Nothobranchius furzeri: one gene and its partner. The protein of the gene in region 1 interacts with the protein of each later gene in a pairwise test. Links are inferred from orthologs where the notes say so. Each region holds a gene or a part of one and is shown in the gene's direction. Other genes may lie near its edges.

Region 1 (3,500 bases):
GCATTTCCTTTGGAAATCAAGGACCCAGAGTCTGGAGGAAGAGCGGAGAAGCACAGAATCCACGTTGCATGAGGTCCAGTGTAAAGTTTCCACCGTCAGTGATGGTGTGGGGTGCCATGTCATCTGCCGGTGTTGGCCCACTCTGTTTCCTGAGGTCCAGGGTCAATGCAGCCGTCTACCAGGAAGTTTTAGAGCACTTCATGCTTCCTGCTGCTGACCAACTTTATGGGGATGCAGACTTCACCTTTCAACAGGACTTGGCACCTGCACACAGTGCCAAAACCACCAGCACCTGGTTCAAGGACCATGGTATCCCTGTCCTTGATTGGCCAGCAAACTCGCCTGACCTTAACCCCATAGAAAATCTATGGGGTATTGTGAAGCGGAGGATGCAATACGCTAGACCCAACAATGCAGAGGAGCTGAAGACGACTATCAGAGCAACCTGGGCTCTCATAACACCTGAGCAGTGCCACAGACTGATCGAGTCCATGCCACGCCGCATTACTGCAGTTATTGAGGCAAAAGGAGCCCCGACTAAGTATTGAGTGCTATACATGCACATTCTTTTCATGTTCATTCTTTTCAGTTGGCCAACATTAGAGAAACAAACATTTTTTCATTGGCCTTTAGAATATTCTAATTTTCTGAGATACCAGATTTGATGTTTTCATTGGTTGTCACCTATAAATATCAAAATTAAACGTAATAAACATCGGAAATACATTGGTCTGTGTGCATTGCATGAATATAATGTACAAGTTTCACGTTTTGAATGGAATTACTGAAATATTTTCAACCTTTTGATGATATTCTAATTTACTGGCCAGCACCTGTAAATTCTGCACAAGTTTTGACTGCTGCAGATGCTTTTTCTTTTTTGTCCAGGAGAGGGCAGCAGATGACAGTAAAGAAGTGGAAAGCTTCCAGCAGCTGCTCCTGGCCAGAACTCAGGTAGCTAACACGTAACCTCCCTTATTTCAAAACGTTTTCATGTCATTTATTCTGTATTTTTATTAAGAATTAGATGGTTTCATTTTCATTCTTTCCTTTTTTCCCCATTTCTCTTTTAAATCCAAATACTAAAATGATGCCATTCTAACATTTTGACGTATAATGTGAAACAAAACAAAAACCTGACATCTAAAGCATTTTTCTCTGTTTTTCCTGAATTTTGTCCCTTCAGGAGTTTATTGAGGAGATTTTGTCTCCTCCCTTTGGGGGGATGATTGCCTTTGTGAAGGAAGCCGAGGCGCTGATGGAGAAAGGACAGCTGGACCGGCTGAAGAACGAGGAAGGTGAGAGAGAAACTAACAGATAATGCCTAGAGGGCTTCGGTGTTTTCAGTATCGTCTGTTCTCTGGTTCTGGTGAAAGGTGACCAACGTAGAAGCACACAATGTCATGTTGGGTTTTTTGGTTTGTTTAACTGATAAAAGCTCTGAAACTGTCAGAAGGAAACGGTTAAAGTCAACAAACTGTCCTGGTCAGAGTTTTTCTTCTTCTGAATGACAACAGTCACCAATTCTTCTGAACTGTGTGTACTGAAACTCTAATTTCCCTCTGGGATTAATAAAGTATCTTTGATTTGATTCTGTAAATGACTTTATTTTCTGGGTAAAAATCTCAGAAATGCTTTTAATGAAGGTACAAAGAGCCTCCTTGAGTTTTAGTTTATCCAGAAACACCAGGAAGCATCACATGAACGTCTATACAGGCTGCTTTCTTTTTACCGTTCAGTTTAGGCCCTGTCCACACGTAGCCGGGGAGCTGCCAAAACGTAGATATGTTTCTACGTTTTGGCCTGTCATCCACACGAAAACTGAGTTTTTTCACTCGAAAACGGATCTTTTTAAAAACTCCAAAGTGAAGATCTGCGTTTTCTCCGTTTTGGGTGTCTGCGTGTGGACAGACAAAACCGGAGTTTTAAGGTCCGCAACGTCACTTTCCACGACAAAACAATGCTGACATCACGTGTGCGACCTGTGTTTACACTAGCCGACATCATGGATGCCCTCAGAGCTGCGCTCGCTTTATCAATTGTCCAAGCGCTTTTTGCTTGTTTGTTTTTGCAAGCGGAATTACTGCTCCTTGTGGAAGACCACAGACGAAGGACGAGGTTAAGAACGGGGGAAGTACTGCCGCCTACAGGTCTGGCATGTCCTTAACAACGTATTTATCCGGGTACGTGTGGACAGAGTTTTTTTAAACAAGGTGGTGTGGATGCAAGTTTTTGGAGGGGCGGATATTCGTTTTTTTAAAAACCCGGCTACGTGTGGACTAGGCCTCAGATTTACAGAGAAAAAGCTACTTCCTGTCTAAGCGTTTTATTGTTCCTGATCGTTTCTCTTTCGAACGTCCGAAGCCACAAAACAATCACTTCATATGACCACATCCTACATTCTGTCTAAGGAAATGAGTGAAACTATACAGGAAACAGAAAAACACAGCCATGATGTTAACCATGCTGTGTGTGTGTGTGTGTGTGTGTGTGTGTGTGTGTGTGTGTGTGTGTGTGTGTGTGTGTGTGTGTGTGTGTGTGTGTGTGTGTGTGTGTGTGTGTGTGTGTGTGTGCGTGCGTGTGCGTGCGTGCGTGCGTGCGTGTGTGTGTGTGCAGCTCGCATCACCCAGCTCATCCGGGGCTTTTCAAGCACTTGGAAACAATCAGTGGAGTCGATGAGCCAAGAGGTCATGAGATCTTTCACCAACTTCAAAAATGGAACCAGCATCATACAGGTGAGTTAGTCAGCAGGTGTGTTACACACACACACACACACACGTGCGCTTTCTTTGGCGCAACTAAGCCCAGCCCAGAATAATGACAACGGGAGCGTCGGTGTAAATCATCTCAGAGAATGAATCATATCCTGAAAACCTGAAACATTTCCTACAAATAAACTTTAATGTTACCAAAATCACTTTGAGCAGAGGATGTAAAGAAAAACTAGAAACACATTTTCATTCCTTTGTGCTGCCTTGTAGATCCCTACTGCCTCTGTAAACACTACCACATGAAAAATGCAAAAGGAAAGGGAATTAAATGCTTAAAATGAGTTGTTTCCAAAAGTCCCGGTTTGTGACATCACTAAAGGAAAATTAGAATAGAAACCCCTCTCACCTGTGGAACTCAAAAGTATTCAAAATTCAATAAATAAATAAGACATTATGAAATAAATATCCACGTGAAGAAATACTAGACAATCATGTAATCTGACAATGAAATGATGAAATAACAGAATGTTATGTAAAATCTAAGCTCAATATTCTGAAATATTTTTCATTCTTCTTTTAAAATGTCTTTATTAATATAAAGTTTTTTTCAAGTCATTTTTTCATAATAATCCAAATTAATATTGAGCCATTTTTATTTAATTCATTCAGTTTTTATTACATAACGTCTTTTTAACAAAAACAGCTTTTATTTCACAGTAGTGTTTTTTCCCATGGCTGATTTATTTCATAATGAGACTTTACAGCAGAGTGTCTCAGTGTTTTTATTGA
Region 2 (4,286 bases), on another chromosome or scaffold:
TTTATCTAGTTTGGACAGTGTTTTATAAACTTTAGACAGTAGTTTGGGGGGTTTGAGATTATAGAAGTCTAATATCCTTGATGGTGTATGTAATTCTACTTTATTGAGCTTAAAGTTTTTGTTTAACTACAGATTTAATTTGGTGGTATTCTAAAAAGTTATTCTTATCTATCCCATATTGGGAGACTATTCTGTTAAATGGGATAAATTCCAATCCTTCATATATGTGTTCCAGGTATAGGATTCCTTTATTTTTCCAGTCCGGAAGGTTCATCATTTTGTTATTTTGCAAAATAGCAGGATTATTACAGTGTCATCAGAGTTTACAGTGTTGGACCTATTGAAATTTAAAAAAAAACTTTTAAAATCCTAAAAAAAATCAGAGAAGTCTCTCTCTCTCTCTCTCTCTCTCTCTCTCTCTCTCTCTCTCTCTCTCTCTCTCTCTCTCTCTCTCTCTCTCTCTCTCTATATATATATATATATATATATATATATATATATATATATATAATTTTATTTTTTAAGTAAAGGCTGTAGTATGTAGAATAGCTAATAATTGACCAGCAGGAATGATTTTGTGTCAACAGAGTTTACAGTGTAGGAGCTATTGAAATATATTACTTTTAAAGAAATCACCCAACTCAGAGAAGTACAAAAATAAATAAAGAAAAGGTGCAGATTGTAGATAAGGTAATGTAATTAGGTGCCGTCCTTTTGGTGTCACTAACATTTTCAATGTAGGAAATATAGATAATTATAAGGTATAAAAAACAACAAGCAAACAAGTCATTTTTCTTCATCCAGTGATAATGTGGTGTGTGATGTTGGTGTCACTACATTTTAAAATGGAGCAGATAAATATCAAAGTTGACATCTTCGAAAATAAAATAAAAAACAAAAACATTATGTGTTACTGGAATAAAATAATCACTGTAATGTGAACAGCATGTGTGTAGTGTTAAATTTAATGAATTAGGGGACACTGCAGTGTACAGGGGTGGTGCTGATTCTGGTTAGTCTTTTTTCTGACTGTCCCTGAGCGCTCGCGACAGGTTCGGTCGTAGTCTCATAGAGCACACTTTAGCTCGTCGGGAGTTGAGCACGTTCATTTATTTTAATTTTAATACGAGGTTGTAGCTTGTTCACTACCTTGCCACGAGTCCAGAGAGGTATTTTATGTTTTGAAGTATTATTCTGTTCAGAAGGTGTTGAGCCGCAAAAGTCGAATCTGTGAATATCTTGCTAACTTTAGTTAGTGAGTTAGTAGAGTCCACTATGGATTTCTAGCATAAAAGTGGCTTCTTTGCGGACCTTCTGGACATCAGATCACCCTCAAAATACAATTAGTGATTTCTAACCCAGGTACAGCTAGAAACATTCTCTTTGTTGCTGTCGTTCCTTTTTCTGCCAGGAGGGGGCAGATGTTTCCACGTCTCTCAGGTCTCCTGCCCAATGAGCAGACGTTACGTCCTTACGTAATCGATCATCTGTGTTGAGTTGGTGACGTGTAGTTGTTAGCTTGGCAGACGGTACGGAATCATTGAGTTCTAATTCTCTACACCGACTCCAGACAACGAGCTTTTGAATGTGGACGGAACCGTTCAGTCTCCCATGAAGTTAGACGTTAACTGACTAACGTTCACGGTAAGGAGACGCCGAGTCCAGCGAAGCGAGCTAACGGCCGCTGACCTGACTCATTGTTATGACTACCAGAGCTAGCTAGCTGGTCAAACTGTTTTATCAGCTTTTATTTACCACTCGGTTAACAATCTTTAGCGGTCCTACTAATGAAAGTTATATGTGTCAGAAATGAGTTTTACACACATACATATATTTGTTTCTTCACATTGGATCAACGGTAGTTTCTGGGTTTGGAGGACATAAACACGTCTTTCTGCTGCTGGTGGTGCTGCTGGTGAGGAGACAACCAGGGGACCGACCTGCTCGGTCCAGCCGTTCAACGCGGAGCCGTACTGTTTACTGTGGGATAATTTATGGTAATGTTGTGAGCCTTTCTTTTGTTGTCTTCTTTTCCCAGATGTAGCAGAATGCAAACAACCAAACCGGACCCTCTGAAGACCCTTTACAGAACCGGACGGTTCTGCGTCAGTCCTCAGAATCTGGATCCGTGAGATCCATGCGTCACCTGCAGAATCTGCCCATTGCACCCAGAAAGACACGCTGAGACGAGCATCATGTTCGCCAAGTTAAAGAAGAAGATAGCAGAAGAGGCGGCCACGGCACCTCGGAGCGGCGTGAGGATCCCCAGGACCATCAGCAAGGAGTCCATCACCTCCGTAGGCGCAGACTCAGGGGATGACTTCGTAAGTGCTCTGATTTCACCCGACTGGGAACGCCTCATTACTGTGGAAAATAAAATCAGAGTATGAATGAGTAATCTGGGAGCAAAACCACGTTTTTAACATCTCTACATACAGTTAAATAATTGTGTTGTGAACCACGATAAACAAACCGATTAGAGACTGTTTCCAAGAAGAAAGACAACTTTTATTTACATCACAGCCAACTCTGAACAGGCTGTTGAATGCAGAGATCCTAAAGGGGAAAAAAAGCAATAAAAACACGACTATGCAAAAATAAGGTAAATAAAACCTGTTAAAGACACAAAAATCAGATTTTATATTTCATGCTGGTTTCAGAAGCCAACGCAGACGGGCTTTAAATATGATCTAAAATTGTTCCAGTGAGGATGTCTTTCTGATCATGCCGACTAACACTTTCACACCTTGGGACCTGTCCCCCCTGAGCTTACACACTGAGTCCTTGGTTCATCCAGGACTGGTCAGACAGCTGAGATGGGGAACGTGCATGCATAAATCAAAGAGGTAGCGCGGAGGAGGATTGTTTAAAATTGAAATACAAAATTGAAATACAGATAAAAGAAGCCTACAAGGATTTGTAACAGGCAGCCAGTGCAGTGAGGCCATAACAGAAGGGATGTGCTCTCTCCTCTTGCTGCCAGTTCAAAGCTCTGCAGCTGCAGTTTGCAGCAGTTGAAGCCAGGACGGAGATAACTGGATCCTTCTTTTGTATCGGACAACAAAGGAGTGGTGGTGGTTTGTTTAGGGAAAAGCAGAGCAACATACAGCAGTGGATGGGTTAAAGAGACGGCACCGTGGCACTGGGGTGTGGAGCTAAAGGATGCTACGAGACAGGGTCAGGTGTTGATGGCCAGATCTATTAGCGTTTTCTCCACGTCTGATGCTCCTTCTTTCATCATGGAAGAAGGAAGTGAAGCTTGTTAAACTCGCAGCCATTCTCCTTCTCTTCTTCTTCGTGTCTGGTTCGATGATTTCAGTACGGTGAGATCAGCAGTTGTAGTCTTCTACGTCTTTTCACACAAAACCTAAAATAACTTTTGCCACCTGTTGAGAATGAGCACTTTCTAGGCCTCAAATGTGTCTTTTGAATTCACCGGCATCATACGTGAAATCCACGGCACATATCCAGCTGATCAGAAACTAACTTTTATCAGCTCATTGACTCCCACCCATGGTCCACAAGTAGATGGGCGTGGCTTTCCTTTCTGGTTTTGTTGGTCTTTGTTTCAGCCTGCGACATCTGGGTCACAAGACGTTGCTGCTATTATTTTGTGGGCTAGGTGTTACCTTTAGTTCATGACTGAAGATGGTAAAATACTAAAGGGAATGAAAAACAGGCTAAATGAACCAGGCACCAGGGGGAAATTTGACTTGTGTCCCAGATTTGCCGAGGCAAACTGATGTGTGTCGTCTTGGATGTACCGTGTTTAATAATTTAGTGAGTAAGCTACGTGGGTCACATGTGACTGTCTTTATGGTTCCTGGTCCAGCAGCCTGTTCAGGTTGTTCAGGTCAAGACGGCCCGGCAGCAGGAGTAGGTGTGACTGACAGCTGTCTGGTTACTGTTGTGTTGTCTGTGAGGAAAGTTCCCCACATTAATTAGCCACCCAGCTGTAAAACAATAAACTTGATTTCCACTTTGATATTTTTACTCGCCGAGTCACTGACTCGGCTATCATTAAAACATGTGCTGGTCCCATCTTGTGCCTATAGTGCTGAAACACTGGAGGACACAGTAAGACCTTAAACTTGTCTACCTACTATCTGAATTTGGGATTTTCAATAGTTGTCAGTTATAATACAAGTCAATCATCAACGTTAAGAAAAGAAACATTTGAAAAATATCAGTCAGTCTGTGTGAAAAATGATTTTATTATACAAGTTTCACTTTTTGGATGGAATTCCTGAAATGTGGCCATCACCTGTATGTGTTCAGTTTTATTC

What was found.
Region 2: the proteins of vps52 (region 1) and golga1 interact in binary tests that used the Homo sapiens proteins (3 or more experiments, as listed by UniProt). The two-hybrid records come from large-scale screens. The link is inferred for Nothobranchius furzeri from reciprocal best matches to the Homo sapiens genes VPS52 and GOLGA1.

What each region holds. Positions count from the first base shown.
Region 1 is NC_091759.1:11,210,160-11,213,659, forward strand, and holds part of vps52 (vacuolar protein sorting-associated protein 52 homolog), read left to right. Parts: intron 1-888; coding exon 889-954; intron 955-1,186; coding exon 1,187-1,298; intron 1,299-2,616; coding exon 2,617-2,735; intron 2,736-3,500. UniProt on the Homo sapiens protein: Acts as a component of the GARP complex that is involved in retrograde transport from early and late endosomes to the trans-Golgi network (TGN).
Region 2 is NC_091757.1:26,272,309-26,276,594, reverse strand, and holds the start of golga1 (golgin subfamily A member 1), read left to right. Parts: upstream 1-1,486; 5' UTR 1,487-1,644; intron 1,645-2,038; 5' UTR 2,039-2,195; coding exon 2,196-2,324; intron 2,325-4,286. UniProt on the Homo sapiens protein: Involved in vesicular trafficking at the Golgi apparatus level. Involved in endosome-to-Golgi trafficking. Mechanistically, captures transport vesicles arriving from endosomes via the protein TBC1D23.